Linked DNA regions of Saccharomyces cerevisiae S288C. The gene in region 1 interacts genetically with each later gene. Each region holds a gene or a part of one and is shown in the gene's direction. Other genes may lie near its edges.

Evidence for each region. A genetic interaction does not mean that the proteins touch.
Region 2: mutations in RAD17 (region 1) and TSA1 impair growth when combined (synthetic growth defect), as found in Saccharomyces cerevisiae (5 studies listed by BioGRID, with this or other methods).
Region 3: mutations in RAD17 (region 1) and RAD5 together harm fitness more than expected from each alone (negative genetic interaction), as found in Saccharomyces cerevisiae (8 studies listed by BioGRID, with this or other methods).

The regions. Positions count from the first base shown.
Region 1 is NC_001147.6:1,024,454-1,029,065, forward strand, and holds RAD17 (Rad17p), read left to right. Parts: upstream 1-2,389; coding exon 2,390-3,595; downstream 3,596-4,612. Other genes in the region: YOR365C (putative flavin adenine dinucleotide transporter), read right to left, coding at 1-1,119; SCP1 (Scp1p), read left to right, coding at 1,554-2,156; 40S ribosomal protein eS12 RPS12, read right to left, coding at 3,741-4,172. UniProt on the Saccharomyces cerevisiae protein: Component of the checkpoint clamp complex involved in the surveillance mechanism that allows the DNA repair pathways to act to restore the integrity of the DNA prior to DNA synthesis or separation of the replicated chromosomes.
Region 2 is NC_001145.3:218,179-221,756, forward strand, and holds TSA1 (thioredoxin peroxidase TSA1), read left to right. Parts: upstream 1-1,959; coding exon 1,960-2,550; downstream 2,551-3,578. Other genes in the region: USA1 (Usa1p), read left to right, coding at 1-1,700; YOX1 (Yox1p), read left to right, coding at 3,228-3,578. UniProt on the Saccharomyces cerevisiae protein: Thiol-specific peroxidase that catalyzes the reduction of hydrogen peroxide and organic hydroperoxides to water and alcohols, respectively.
Region 3 is NC_001144.5:203,172-209,528, forward strand, and holds RAD5 (DNA helicase RAD5), read left to right. Parts: upstream 1-1,819; coding exon 1,820-5,329; downstream 5,330-6,357. Other genes in the region: YLR030W (uncharacterized protein), read left to right, coding at 119-910; YLR031W (uncharacterized protein), read left to right, coding at 1,054-1,614; RSC58 (Rsc58p), read left to right, coding at 5,590-6,357. UniProt on the Saccharomyces cerevisiae protein: Probable helicase, member of the UBC2/RAD6 epistasis group. Functions with the DNA repair protein RAD18 in error-free postreplication DNA repair.

The DNA.
Region 1 (4,612 bases):
ATTTGATATCTCAATTCCAGCTTTGTAAGACACCCTTTTAATACCTCTTAATACTAAAATTTTTGACAGATAGTCATTTGAATTTCTCAAATTTGAAGTGTATAATAAATCATTTTTTTGGGAACTTTCAATACCATTTAAATTACTTGACGCTGATATGATTTTACTGTTCAAGGATCTTTTTTGAACACTGATCGATAAAACTTCTTTATTGCGGTATACAACGGTGGGGGACCCAGATGTTGCGACAACATACCAGTCAAATAACCGCTGCATAAAATTTATCCTTATTATTCCCATTGACCATTGGAAATTTTGAGTCCAAGCGGCGACAATAGGCGGTAAAAATGATACACTAATCATAGCTAAAATAGCCAAATTTTGGAAATATAAAAGTAGCGATATTGAATAAGACGCCAGTCTTGTTGAAGTAACCGTATAACCTTGCAAAGAATAAACCACTGAAAACATAATTCCGGAAATTGTCAATATCACTAGATTCCACGATAAATACTCTGTTTGGACTGTTCTACCATTTGATAACATCACTTGTACACATGCTAGAGGTTTGGTAAATTCTTTATCAATAGTGGAGTATGCTGTCACCACAATATATGCGTCTAAGTCAGGTATATTATATGTTATGCTTGGTATTTGGCTAGCTACCGCGGCCTCAACATAATAACTTCCCATGAGTTCTATATTTCCCGGCTTCAACGGACATAATAAATTATCTTGGATTCCACATAGATCAAAAACTTTGGTATAAACATTGAGACCATATGCAATCAATTCTGCCTTGATGGTTATGTTTTCGCTCATAATTGTTTGTGCTTCAACATTAAAGAATAGAGTATTATTTCTCGGGAAAAAAGCAGCTTCGAAATACGATGCAGAAAACTGTGAGTCTTTAGCACAAGTCAACAGAGCCGAAGTCCTTAGATATTCTTTAGTATATGCATCAAATGGTACTGGGAATAGAGTCGATGCGTTGTTCAGTAGTGTAAAAGAGTTAGAAACCTGGAAAGTAGAGCTGTTAATGGAAATAGCGTGTATTTGTCGGAAGATTGCTAGCAAAACAAAAATCCGAGATAAAGAGAAGACTTTAATGGGAAGCATACTTATTCTCTTTACATCTATAAATCAGAGAGGTTAAATATTATTTAAAATAGCATTACGACTTTGCTTCATCATCCTTCCAAAATATTGACACTGCATCATTTTTTAAATGTGTCAGTAATTCGGGCACAAAAATATAAATGGACCGCCATGAACTAAAGCTGTCGTCGATATGGATCGCTCCATAGCAGCATTATAAAAATTAAAAATGCATCAATACCATGCTACAGTAATAACAAAATACAGCATGGATTACCACTACATATTCATCATGTCATGCATTATAGTTGTAACATATGCTGAACACCCATTCATCACGTGTAATTGGACATCCGTGGAGTTCCAAAAGGAGTATAAACGCAAATAGTAAAGCTAAGATATAAGTAGTGTCTAAGTAAATGACTTCTTTGTAAGCGTACAGCTAAAGTTTACCGATGAGTTACGATAAGAAGGCAGATGTCACATCCTTAGATGAAGATTTGAGACAACTAAGAGAAAGCAAATTTTCACCGGAAGCAATTCAAAATATCAAAATATGGGTATATAAATCTGTCCTAAAAGAGATAGCTCCTCCTGGAGACTTATTGGAATGCTTGAAAGATGGAACAGTCCTATGTAAGCTGGCAAATATTTTATATGAAGCAGACACAGGAGAAGCTAACCATATTAGTTGGAAGAGCTCTAAAATGCCATTTGTTCAAATGGATCAAATTTCCCAATTTTTATCATTTTCGAGAAAATATGGTGTGCCTGAAGATGAACTGTTTCAGACAATTGATCTTTTTGAGAAAAAGGATCCTGCCATTGTTTTCCAAACGTTGAAGTCACTATCTCGTTACGCCAACAAAAAACATACAGATAGATTTCCAGTTCTAGGACCACAACTGTCAACAAAGAAGCCAAGACCCCCGGTTAAGTCTAAACCAAAACATCTACAAGATGGTACTGGATGGAGCACTTTTGAATACGGTTATATGAAAGGTGCATCTCAGGCTACTGAAGGAGTGGTGTTAGGACAACGGAGAGATATAGTTTAGAGAATTATTATTAACACTTTCTCTGGCAGAAATTGATAAATAAACATTTAAGAACCCTATATACGCAACCAAAGTTCCTTTGATATATTTTAGTTTTCCATCAAAGTTTTCCTACATAAACACTAAGGTGGCTAGAGACGCGTAACAAAAGTTAACGTTACCGGTAAAAATGTGATTATACAAATCAATCTCACAGAACGGTGTGGAAACAAAGTAGTTGAAGGATTTCAACTATGCGAATCAACAGTGAGCTAGCGAACAAGTTTTCTGCCTCAACGGTGCACTTAGAACATATCACAACTGCTTTAAGTTGTTTAACACCTTTTGGTTCTAAAGACGATGTGCTTATATTCATTGATGCTGATGGGCTGTCATTTGTCAGGGAGAATAATCATGTGATAAAAATCCAACTACTGTTATCTCGGGAGCTATTTATGTCTTATTCGTATAGAAATGAAACTGAGGATCACATGAAACTTTGTGTAAAAATAAATCATATCTTAGATAGCGTTAGCGTGATGAACAGGAATTCGGATGACATTGTTGAGTGTACTTTATCTTATGATGGACATGGATCACCATTTGTACTAATATTTGAAGACTCGTTCATTTCTGAGAGAGTGGAGTACTCTACCTACTTAATTAAGGATTTTGATACTAATGGACTAGAACTCGATAGAGAAAGGATAAGCTTTGAGGCAATTATTAAGGGCGAAGCCCTTCATTCAGCCTTAAAGGATCTAAAAGAAATCGGATGCAAAGAGTGCTATGTATATGCAAAGACCGAGGCGAATGATGAGAATGTATTTGCCCTGATATCTAAATCTCAGCTAGGATTTTCTAAAATAAAATTACCCAGTAACAGATCCATACTAGAGAAGTTACAAGTATTTGACGGAGATTCCACAACAGTAATAGATGGTTTTGCTGTAATTGGGTTCTTCGATTTCACCTCGTTTGATAAAATCAGAAAGAGTACTAAAATTGCAAGCAAAGTCCTTTTCAGGATGGATGTTCATGGCGTATTGAGTGTAAATATTCTAAGTCAAACAGACGATGTCATTATCACTGATACTACAAGACCTTCAAATAATCGACCAGGTAGTATTCGCCAACTGCAGCTACCCAAGGATTATCCCGGTATAGTAATTGAGGTTTGCATGCTAGAAAAAGAATCCATAGATGAGGCAGCACAGACAGAAATAGAACTCCTGATGGAGACTAATGAACTTGGCAATCGTAATAGTTTTAAAAAATCAACTATAAGAAAAAGATATGGTACAGATAAAGGCAATGAAACTTCAAATGACAACTTGCTGCAATTGAATGGGAAAAAAATTAAACTACCATCTGAAGAAGAAAACAATAAAAACAGGGAAAGTGAGGATGAAGAGAATCACTGCAAGTATCCAACAAAGGATATTCCTATATTTTTTTAAGTCAATATCCAGCATCGCAGAAAACGCAGAACTTCATTCAGCATTTGGTAATTTTATAACATATAACTTACAATTAAATAAAAGTTTAACTATATATTATTATGTGATCTAACTCTAGAAAAAGTACTAATGAACATCACACCGTTTATTGTTGGGAGAAGTGTTCCATGATCATGGACAATTCATCAGTTTCAGCACCCCAGTTCTTGACAACAACAACGGAGGCACCGACAACCTTTCTGGCGTTACCTTCACGGTCGATCTTACCCAAACCAGCCCATTCACCTAATTGCTTAGCATCAGCAACCTTGATCAATGGAACCTTGTTTTCTGGGTCGTTAGCCAAACCTTCAACCAACTTGATAATGTTAGCTTCAGTAACAGAGCTGACCAAAACAACCAATAAAGCTTCACCTCTGGTTAAAGCCTTGGTAGATTCTCTCAAACCTCTAGCTAGACCATCGTGAACCAAAGCGGTTCTCAAAACAACCTTCAAAGCATCTTCGATAGTAACTTCGGCAGTTTGTTCAACAACAGTTTCTTCTTGAACTTCAACGACTTCTTCAACGTCAGACATTTTTCTTCTCAATAATATATAGTCTAGTTTTTGACTTCTTCGACAGTAAGATAATTAAACTGCTCCGTGAAGAGTTTTGAATTGGGAAAAACAATTGAACAAGGAACACTTATAGACCTGTTGTGATAAGAGATGACATAACTTTTATAATATGTCCTGCGGAGAATTCGATGAAATTTTGCAAATTGTAAGTTTGCTTGAAAGTTTGCTTGCGGGTAAGGTATTCTGAAAAAAATAAAATGATTCCACAATGGAAATGTGAAGATGTTGTAAACAAATCAAATGTACGGATGCACAATGGTAAACAGTACTGGATTTCTTTTTATATCACCGTTGAGCCGAAACAAACCCCGAAATAACCATTTAATATGCCAAGATGTACAAACCTCGTCTTTGCTTATTCAACTGCTACATTCGCAATACCTCAATAACGAGGTGCG
Region 2 (3,578 bases), on another chromosome or scaffold:
TAACTCAAATGAATGTTAAGCCCGATACCACGGTAAAACAAGTGAAAGATTTCATATGTTCTGTTTACACTCACTCATTAAACTTGAGGAGAAATGATATCAAGTTGATTTATAAGGGACAGTTGCTTCATGAAAATAATTTTGCAGGCAACTCTTCAAAGATCAGCGAGTACATTAAAGAGCCACATGAAGTGAAGGTCCATGTACAAATCAACCAAGAGTATACAGAATCTGGGCCTGGATTTTGGAATGAAGTGTTCAACAATCCGAATATTTTCCAATTCATGCCTCCAGATACAAGGTCACAGTCACCTGTTAGTTTCGCTCCGACGCAAGGACGATCTCCTGCTGCAATACGTGGCGAAGAACGGGGTATACCATACGTAACCGAATCTGGAAATGACATCGTGCCCACAGATGAGCTTTATAGGAAATGCATTATCAACGGGGATGAAGTAGTATTCATTCCTGTTAGCGAACTAAATCCACAATCGAGCTATTTGTCCGTGATCAAAGGCGATTACGGTGAAATTAAAATCCCCATATCTAGTAATGACTACAGAATTAATGGCGATAATATTTTGCTATCACCATCTGCGATAGAGCAGTTAGAATCTGCTTTGAACTTCAAAATCGAGAGACCACGGGATTCGACACTCTTGCATCCGTCTGGTGAGCATGTTCGAGCTGCAGATAATACCTCTTCGGCAAATGATAATAATACAGTTGAGAATGACGAGTCAGCGTGGAATAGAAGGGTAGTGCGTCCCTTGAGAAACAGCTTCCCGCTGCTATTGGTATTGATAAGAACATTTTACTTAATTGGCTATAATTCATTGGTTCCCTTTTTTATTATTTTGGAGTTTGGAAGCTTCCTTCCCTGGAAATATATCATTTTACTAAGCTTGCTTTTCATTTTTAGGACTGTTTGGAATACCCAAGAGGTGTGGAATTTATGGCGAGACTATCTCCACTTGAATGAAATTGACGAAGTCAAGTTTAGCCAGATCAAGGAGTTCATCAATTCCAATTCATTGACCTTAAATTTCTACAAGAAATGTAAGGACACTCAATCCGCTATTGATTTACTGATGATACCTAATCTACATGAGCAAAGGCTATCGGTCTATTCTAAGTATGATATTGAGTACGACACCAACACCCCTGACGTTGGACAATTGAATTTGCTATTTATCAAGGTGCTATCGGGTGAGATTCCTAAGGACGCGCTAGATGAGTTGTTCAAAGAGTTTTTCGAATTGTATGAAACGACAAGAAACATGAACACACTATATCCTCAAGACTCTTTGAACGAATTGCTGCTGATGATTTGGAAGGAGTCCCAAAAGAAAGACATCAATACGCTACCCAAGTACAGAAGATGGTTCCAAACCTTGTGCTCGCAAATAGCGGAGCATAACGTCCTTGATGTCGTACTCAGATACATAATTCCAGACCCGGTAAACGATAGGGTGATAACCGCTGTGATAAAGAACTTCGTGCTCTTTTGGGTTACACTACTCCCCTATGTGAAGGAGAAGCTGGATGATATTGTTGCACAGAGAGCAAGGGACCGTGAGCAACCGGCTCCATCTGCCCAACAGCAGGAAAACGAAGATGAGGCCCTCATAATCCCTGACGAGGAAGAACCCACCGCCACAGGTGCGCAACCTCATCTCTACATTCCTGATGAAGACTAATTGCAATGCGATGTGGCCACGTTATATAATGCGTTTAAGGTGTACGAAAACCCATGCTGTTCTGGCCCGTCGGGTTTTCTGACAAATTGTCCTTTAGGGATTTTTCGGTTTGGCTCGGGTTGGCAAAGTCGGCTGGCAACAAACCAGGACATATATAAAGGGAGGTAATTCGTCAGATCAATGCCGAACCGTTCTCAACGGGCCTTCCCCTCGTTCAATTGCTCACAACCAACCACAACTACATACACATACATACACAATGGTCGCTCAAGTTCAAAAGCAAGCTCCAACTTTTAAGAAAACTGCCGTCGTCGACGGTGTCTTTGACGAAGTCTCCTTGGACAAATACAAGGGTAAGTACGTTGTCCTAGCCTTTATTCCATTGGCCTTCACTTTCGTCTGTCCAACCGAAATCATTGCTTTCTCAGAAGCTGCTAAGAAATTCGAAGAACAAGGCGCTCAAGTTCTTTTCGCCTCCACTGACTCCGAATACTCCCTTTTGGCATGGACCAATATCCCAAGAAAGGAAGGTGGTTTGGGCCCAATCAACATTCCATTGTTGGCTGACACCAACCACTCTTTGTCCAGAGACTATGGTGTCTTGATCGAAGAAGAAGGTGTCGCCTTGAGAGGTTTGTTCATCATCGACCCAAAGGGTGTCATTAGACACATCACCATTAACGATTTGCCAGTCGGTAGAAACGTTGACGAAGCCTTGAGATTGGTTGAAGCCTTCCAATGGACCGACAAGAACGGTACTGTCTTGCCATGTAACTGGACTCCAGGTGCTGCTACCATCAAGCCAACCGTTGAAGACTCCAAGGAATACTTCGAAGCTGCCAACAAATAAGACGCTTGCAGAGTTGTCTAAATGACTACTTATTTAAAATTCACTCTTTACGTTTATACCTATCTATCTATATATAAAACCCATAAACTTAATGCTATTCACTGACAAAACGATACACTACCGTCTAAGAAGCTATTCACACTAGCTCAGTTCTAATAACAATCATCGTCTGGCTCTAAAACGCGTAAACCATTCACTGCCACACTCACTTTAGCTCTGTTGCTGCCCTTCATACGCTGAGACGCGACGCTTCTTTTCTTTCATATGATTTCCCTTCTAGGCGACACGCCATGCCCCAAACGGGGAACACCGCGAATTCCTTCTGGTGCCCGGTTTCCTCTTTGGGAAGGGCGTCAAAATGGTACAGCTCGCTATAGTCGCCAATTACTGCAGATGCTTAAAGGCTTCTGCAACTGTATGTCCAACCTAGTACGTGGAAACTTCAAACGCGAACAATCTGTATGCTGTTTCGGGCTACTTATTGCTCTATACGGTTTTTAGTGGACACGAACTCTTGTAATTATTATATATATATATGCCTTGGCATTTTAACAAGACTCTATGTTGTGATTTCAGTATGATTTGGGTGAAAACACAGTGGTGACCACAGAACAACGAGGTAACAGTTCCAGACCACTACCTTTCCCCTTCAATCTTTGTGATTTGATCAATTCTTGATGTCACAAGAAACAAAAATGCTACCTTCTCTATCTAGTCTTCTATCGGGAACCGAAATCTCGTCCAGCCCCGTATCACCAAGCTTCACTAATCCAAGAACGAGTTTTCACCTCGATGATCGCGGAACCATAAAATTACCACCGCTAAACACCAGTATCAATCGTCCAAGATCTGTGGAAAGCGCCTTGAGACACACTGTTACATCCTTGCATGAAAATAGCAGCGCTTATGGTGATGACATGCTCAAGCACACGCAATCAGACTCAGCCCTCTCATCTCAGTTGAATAGTTCTCAAGAAACAGTTGATGAATCACACGAAAACCTTCTACTGACTCCCCTAAATAGCAAA
Region 3 (6,357 bases), on another chromosome or scaffold:
ATAATGAAAAAATAAGTGCTTTGATAAGAATATCTTGAATACAAATTAAGAAGTGTATATTTATAGATATTTTCGTTTCAGCTTGTGTCTGTGTGTGGCCTTATATGTAATATATGAGATGGAAGGTGAACAAATTATGGAGTATGTTCAAGAGACACCGATCATTCCAAAAAGGATTATCCATTATTCGATTCCAAAACAAATGATCACAAAGCCCGCTCCCCATGTCGAGATGACGTTGGTAGCTAATACTTTTCGGGACATGGACTTGCCGCAGCATCCGGTTATCCATGATTGTTGGCAAAATAAAGAGTACTCAACTCAAAGATATTCAGGAAATGTGGCTCAACAGAGATTAAGTTTTGAGGAACATCCAAATGAAGAGTGTCAAAATTCTGTTGGGTTAATCAAGAGAGTGAGTACTTTCTTTAAAAAGAGGCCATTGTCTCGAAAGAATAGCATAAAGTCAATCGGTGACGTAAAATCGGAGGCACGTAACCGGGGAGAAGGCCTCCTGGGTGAAGTTGATAATCTTAACGAGCAGAATGTCCGAGAAAACCTGACTAGTGAACATGAAAAGAGTCCTGAAGGAGATTCCAAAAGGTATGGCCTGTTCTCCTTTGAAGAGACCCCCCCTATACAAGTGTTGGAGCAGGGCAATATCAATTCTGAGCTTTCTTCATTTAAAAACACTTCTTTGGCGGAAAACAAACGCTCTTCTGACAGCTTCGTTTCGTTAAAACCGGGTGAAGATGAACATAGCCCTTTAGAGATTAGTACGTGTGGTAATTTGACTGAAAGAGAGGATTTGCAATCTGGCGAAGAACGGTTTGACTCAGCAGCCCAAAATATAAAGGTAGCTTCGATGAAGGAAAAAAAAAAAATCTTCAAAGGGAACAAAACAGATTAATCACTGAGATTATACGCCTCGAAAACATACTAAATAAGCATAGGAAGGCTGAAGCTAAGAATAATATTAACAAACTTGAAAAGAAGTTGAGTGAAACAGATGGTTTTACATCTGTAAACACATCAGTTCCAGTAACTCCTATTATGCCGGTCTTAAATACGAGAACTTCTTATCCCAATATCGACTTTCATGGTACTAAGGTTTCTGATGTTCTAGATGCCTTTGAATTTGAAAAGCATGATGATCCCTTAAGGGATAAATGGAACACTTTACAGTTTTTGGAAAAGAGCTTTGAATCTAAATTTGAATCTGCATCAGAGTTAATCCAAGGAGGCGAGCTAGCTGCTATTAAAGAAAGAAATTTTCAATTAGCCAAACTAAATAATCTTTGCTTTCGGGTACGAGAGTCCATCAAAAGAAGACAAGACCTGGAGAAAAAGTTAAGAACTTTATCGCAGGACACTGACAACGAATTGCTTTTTCTGATGTTGGAAAATGAGAGAAGAAAGAAAAGTTCAGTGATAATAGAGTTTCTTTCTGAGATAATCAGAGAGAAATCCAAAAGATTAACTGCAGAAGAGCAAGGCTTTGTAAATCAAAATGAAGTAAAACCCCTCATTCTGGACCTTTCTGCACGGATAAATAGATTGAATTCTATTCTAGAAACAAAAAATACTTGTATTAGAAGATTAAGTAATCAATAAGTAGTTAAATTTTCATAAATTATTACTTTCTTACATGTTAGTTGGCGCGTCGTCTGGCTGAAAATTTTACGCGTCATAAACCCTTAACTTTTCCACACATTATTCCTTACTGCTAAGCGCATTGCTCACTTGAAAGTAAATTATCTACAAAGTTACATTATCAAAAGGCCTTAGAAACACACCTAAAGTCTTACAGTATCACAATATGAGTCATATTGAACAGGAAGAAAGGAAGAGGTTTTTTAACGATGACCTTGACACTTCAGAAACATCGTTAAACTTCAAATCTGAGAATAAAGAGTCGTTTTTATTTGCAAATAGTCATAATGATGATGATGATGATGTTGTTGTATCAGTGAGTGATACAACAGAAGGAGAGGGAGACCGATCTATTGTGCCAGTCAGGCGAGAAATAGAAGAAGAAGGCCAGAATCAGTTTATTACAGAGCTTTTAAGGATTATTCCAGAAATGCCAAAGGATCTTGTGATGGAACTTAATGAAAAATTCGGCAGTCAGGAGGAAGGGCTCTCTTTAGCATTATCACATTACTTTGATCACAATAGCGGGACGTCTATCAGCAAAATACCGTCTTCCCCGAATCAACTAAATACACTCTCAGATACCTCAAATTCAACCTTGTCCCCATCTTCATTCCATCCTAAAAGAAGAAGAATATACGGGTTCAGAAACCAAACACGATTAGAAGATAAAGTTACTTGGAAAAGATTTATAGGTGCTTTGCAAGTCACTGGTATGGCTACCAGACCCACCGTCAGGCCCTTGAAGTACGGCTCTCAGATGAAGCTAAAGAGATCAAGTGAAGAGATTTCTGCTACTAAAGTATATGACTCACGTGGTAGAAAGAAAGCGTCCATGGCTAGTTTGGTAAGAATTTTTGATATCCAATATGATAGAGAAATTGGCAGAGTTTCGGAAGACATTGCTCAAATACTATACCCTCTTTTAAGTTCACACGAAATAAGTTTTGAAGTTACATTGATTTTTTGTGATAATAAACGGTTGAGTATAGGTGATAGCTTTATTCTACAATTGGATTGCTTTTTAACATCTCTCATTTTTGAGGAACGTAATGATGGAGAATCCTTGATGAAAAGAAGACGTACAGAGGGAGGAAATAAAAGAGAGAAAGACAATGGAAATTTTGGAAGAACATTGACTGAAACTGATGAAGAGCTAGAAAGCCGCTCGAAAAGACTGGCTCTACTAAAGTTATTTGATAAATTGAGGCTAAAGCCTATTTTGGACGAGCAGAAGGCATTAGAAAAGCATAAAATAGAGCTTAATAGTGACCCCGAAATCATTGATTTAGATAACGACGAGATTTGCTCTAATCAAGTGACTGAAGTCCATAACAATCTCCGAGATACTCAGCACGAAGAAGAAACAATGAACTTGAATCAATTGAAAACATTTTATAAGGCCGCACAATCATCAGAATCTTTAAAAAGTTTGCCTGAAACAGAACCTTCTCGCGATGTCTTCAAGCTAGAACTAAGAAATTATCAAAAGCAAGGTCTTACTTGGATGCTAAGGAGGGAGCAAGAGTTTGCCAAAGCAGCCTCTGATGGTGAGGCTTCAGAAACGGGTGCTAATATGATAAACCCATTATGGAAGCAGTTCAAATGGCCAAATGATATGTCGTGGGCAGCTCAAAATTTGCAGCAGGACCATGTAAACGTTGAAGATGGCATATTCTTTTATGCGAACTTACATTCTGGTGAATTTTCGCTAGCAAAACCTATATTAAAAACTATGATAAAGGGTGGCATATTATCAGATGAAATGGGGTTGGGTAAAACAGTGGCAGCGTATTCTTTAGTTTTATCTTGTCCTCACGATAGTGATGTTGTTGACAAGAAACTGTTTGATATTGAGAACACAGCAGTCTCAGATAATCTTCCAAGCACTTGGCAAGATAATAAGAAACCATATGCTTCAAAAACAACGCTAATCGTGGTCCCAATGTCTTTGTTAACGCAGTGGAGTAACGAGTTTACAAAAGCTAATAATTCCCCCGATATGTATCATGAGGTGTATTATGGTGGGAATGTTTCCAGTTTGAAAACCCTATTAACCAAGACAAAAACCCCTCCAACTGTAGTCCTTACTACATATGGTATTGTTCAAAATGAATGGACTAAACATTCCAAGGGAAGGATGACAGATGAGGACGTCAATATATCTTCAGGCTTATTTTCTGTCAATTTTTATCGCATAATAATCGACGAGGGTCATAACATTAGAAACAGAACGACAGTTACATCTAAAGCAGTCATGGCTTTACAAGGCAAATGTAAATGGGTTTTAACAGGAACACCAATTATTAACAGGCTTGACGATTTATACAGTCTGGTTAAGTTTTTAGAGTTAGATCCCTGGCGGCAAATTAATTACTGGAAGACCTTTGTATCAACGCCTTTTGAGAGTAAAAATTACAAACAAGCATTTGATGTGGTGAATGCAATTCTGGAACCCGTATTGTTAAGAAGGACAAAACAAATGAAAGATAAAGATGGTAAGCCATTAGTAGAGTTGCCACCAAAGGAGGTCGTTATTAAAAGACTTCCCTTCAGTAAATCTCAAGATCTTCTATACAAGTTTCTGTTGGATAAGGCTGAAGTTTCTGTTAAATCGGGTATTGCACGCGGTGATTTATTGAAAAAGTACTCCACTATCCTTGTCCATATTTTAAGATTGAGGCAAGTCTGTTGCCATCCCGGTCTTATTGGGAGTCAAGATGAGAACGATGAGGATTTATCTAAAAATAATAAATTGGTTACGGAACAAACGGTGGAGCTTGACTCTTTAATGCGTGTTGTTTCCGAGAGATTCGATAACTCATTTTCTAAGGAGGAATTAGATGCAATGATACAAAGATTAAAAGTTAAATATCCAGACAATAAATCGTTTCAGTCCTTAGAGTGCTCCATCTGCACAACGGAACCTATGGATTTGGACAAGGCTTTATTTACAGAATGCGGCCACAGTTTTTGTGAGAAATGTTTATTTGAATATATTGAGTTTCAGAACAGTAAGAATTTGGGTTTAAAGTGCCCCAATTGCCGTAACCAAATAGACGCTTGTCGGTTGTTGGCATTGGTACAAACGAATAGCAACTCGAAAAATTTGGAATTCAAACCATATTCACCAGCCTCCAAATCAAGCAAAATCACTGCTTTATTGAAGGAGCTTCAATTGCTACAGGATAGTTCGGCAGGCGAACAAGTTGTCATTTTTTCCCAATTTTCTACATACTTGGATATCCTGGAGAAAGAGCTAACTCATACTTTCTCAAAAGATGTTGCAAAAATTTATAAATTCGATGGACGTCTCTCATTAAAAGAAAGAACTAGTGTATTAGCAGATTTTGCCGTTAAAGACTATAGCAGGCAAAAAATCCTATTACTCTCGCTGAAGGCTGGTGGCGTGGGTTTGAATCTAACGTGTGCTTCCCACGCTTATATGATGGACCCATGGTGGTCGCCCAGTATGGAAGATCAGGCAATCGATAGACTGCATAGAATTGGCCAGACAAACAGCGTCAAAGTTATGAGATTTATCATACAAGATAGCATAGAAGAAAAAATGCTACGCATTCAAGAAAAGAAGAGAACCATCGGTGAGGCCATGGACACAGACGAAGACGAGAGAAGAAAAAGGAGAATTGAAGAAATCCAGATGCTGTTTGAATAGTCATACCACATACTCATATATAAAGACTTTATTTATTATTATTTTCAACCCGAAAGAACTAATTATTCTTCAGCTACTTCATGCAACTTCTATTATCTTCCTTTTCCGTTACCCGTATTTTTAAGTTGCAATTATTAAAAAAACAATTAAGAAAATAAAACAGCGCCATAAGGCATGGACGATAGAAATACGAAGACGAAGAAAATCATCATCAGTCGGGATCAAATAAGAGATAATTTTGAAAATCGAAAGTTTTCATTATGACAGAAAGTGTAGGTGGAAATAAACTAGTAGATTTTTTGGTAAATGTTCAATCCATTTTGAATGCTGCCTCTGTGAAATGTCATGTAGTAGATGAAAGTTTTCCAGCCAAGTTCTTTGAGAAAAATCCGGATAAGATATATGAATCATATTGTAAATTCATTAAAAATAGAAGTAACTCTGAAGGTTTGATACGTAATGAAGATAAATTAGTTTTGACAACTATCAATAAGAGGTTTGAAAATGGAGAGTACGAACCCATACAAGGTGGGTTTTATAAGCTGTATCACGACATTAAGCTGGTTTGTACAATCCTCATTCACTTTTATCCTCAGGGTACAAGAAACTACCAATTAGTCGACAAGTTCTACAAATTTTCTTCAGAGCTTTTATTACGAGAATGTTGTAGGATAGGAATTGCTCTAACGCAAACTAATAATATTAAATCAAGAAGTGGTAAGTTGTTGAGCGGAAACGAGATGGATGAATACGACGATGACGATGCAACAGAACTAGACAAAATAATCTCTTATGATTTTATTAAGATTTCTATGAATTACACAGTGCCGATTTCTCAAACATATCAGATAAGAACGAAGGATATGGACCTTTTTTCTTCGATAATTTCTAAATCTAATCTTGACAAAAGACCTCATGAACTTCCTAATACAAACTTCAAAATAAACAACGTCTTACCTCAAACTGATATAGAAAACGAAGCTCCAAGATTAGGATTTGTAGGCGCTAATACTAGTAATATTCCGGAC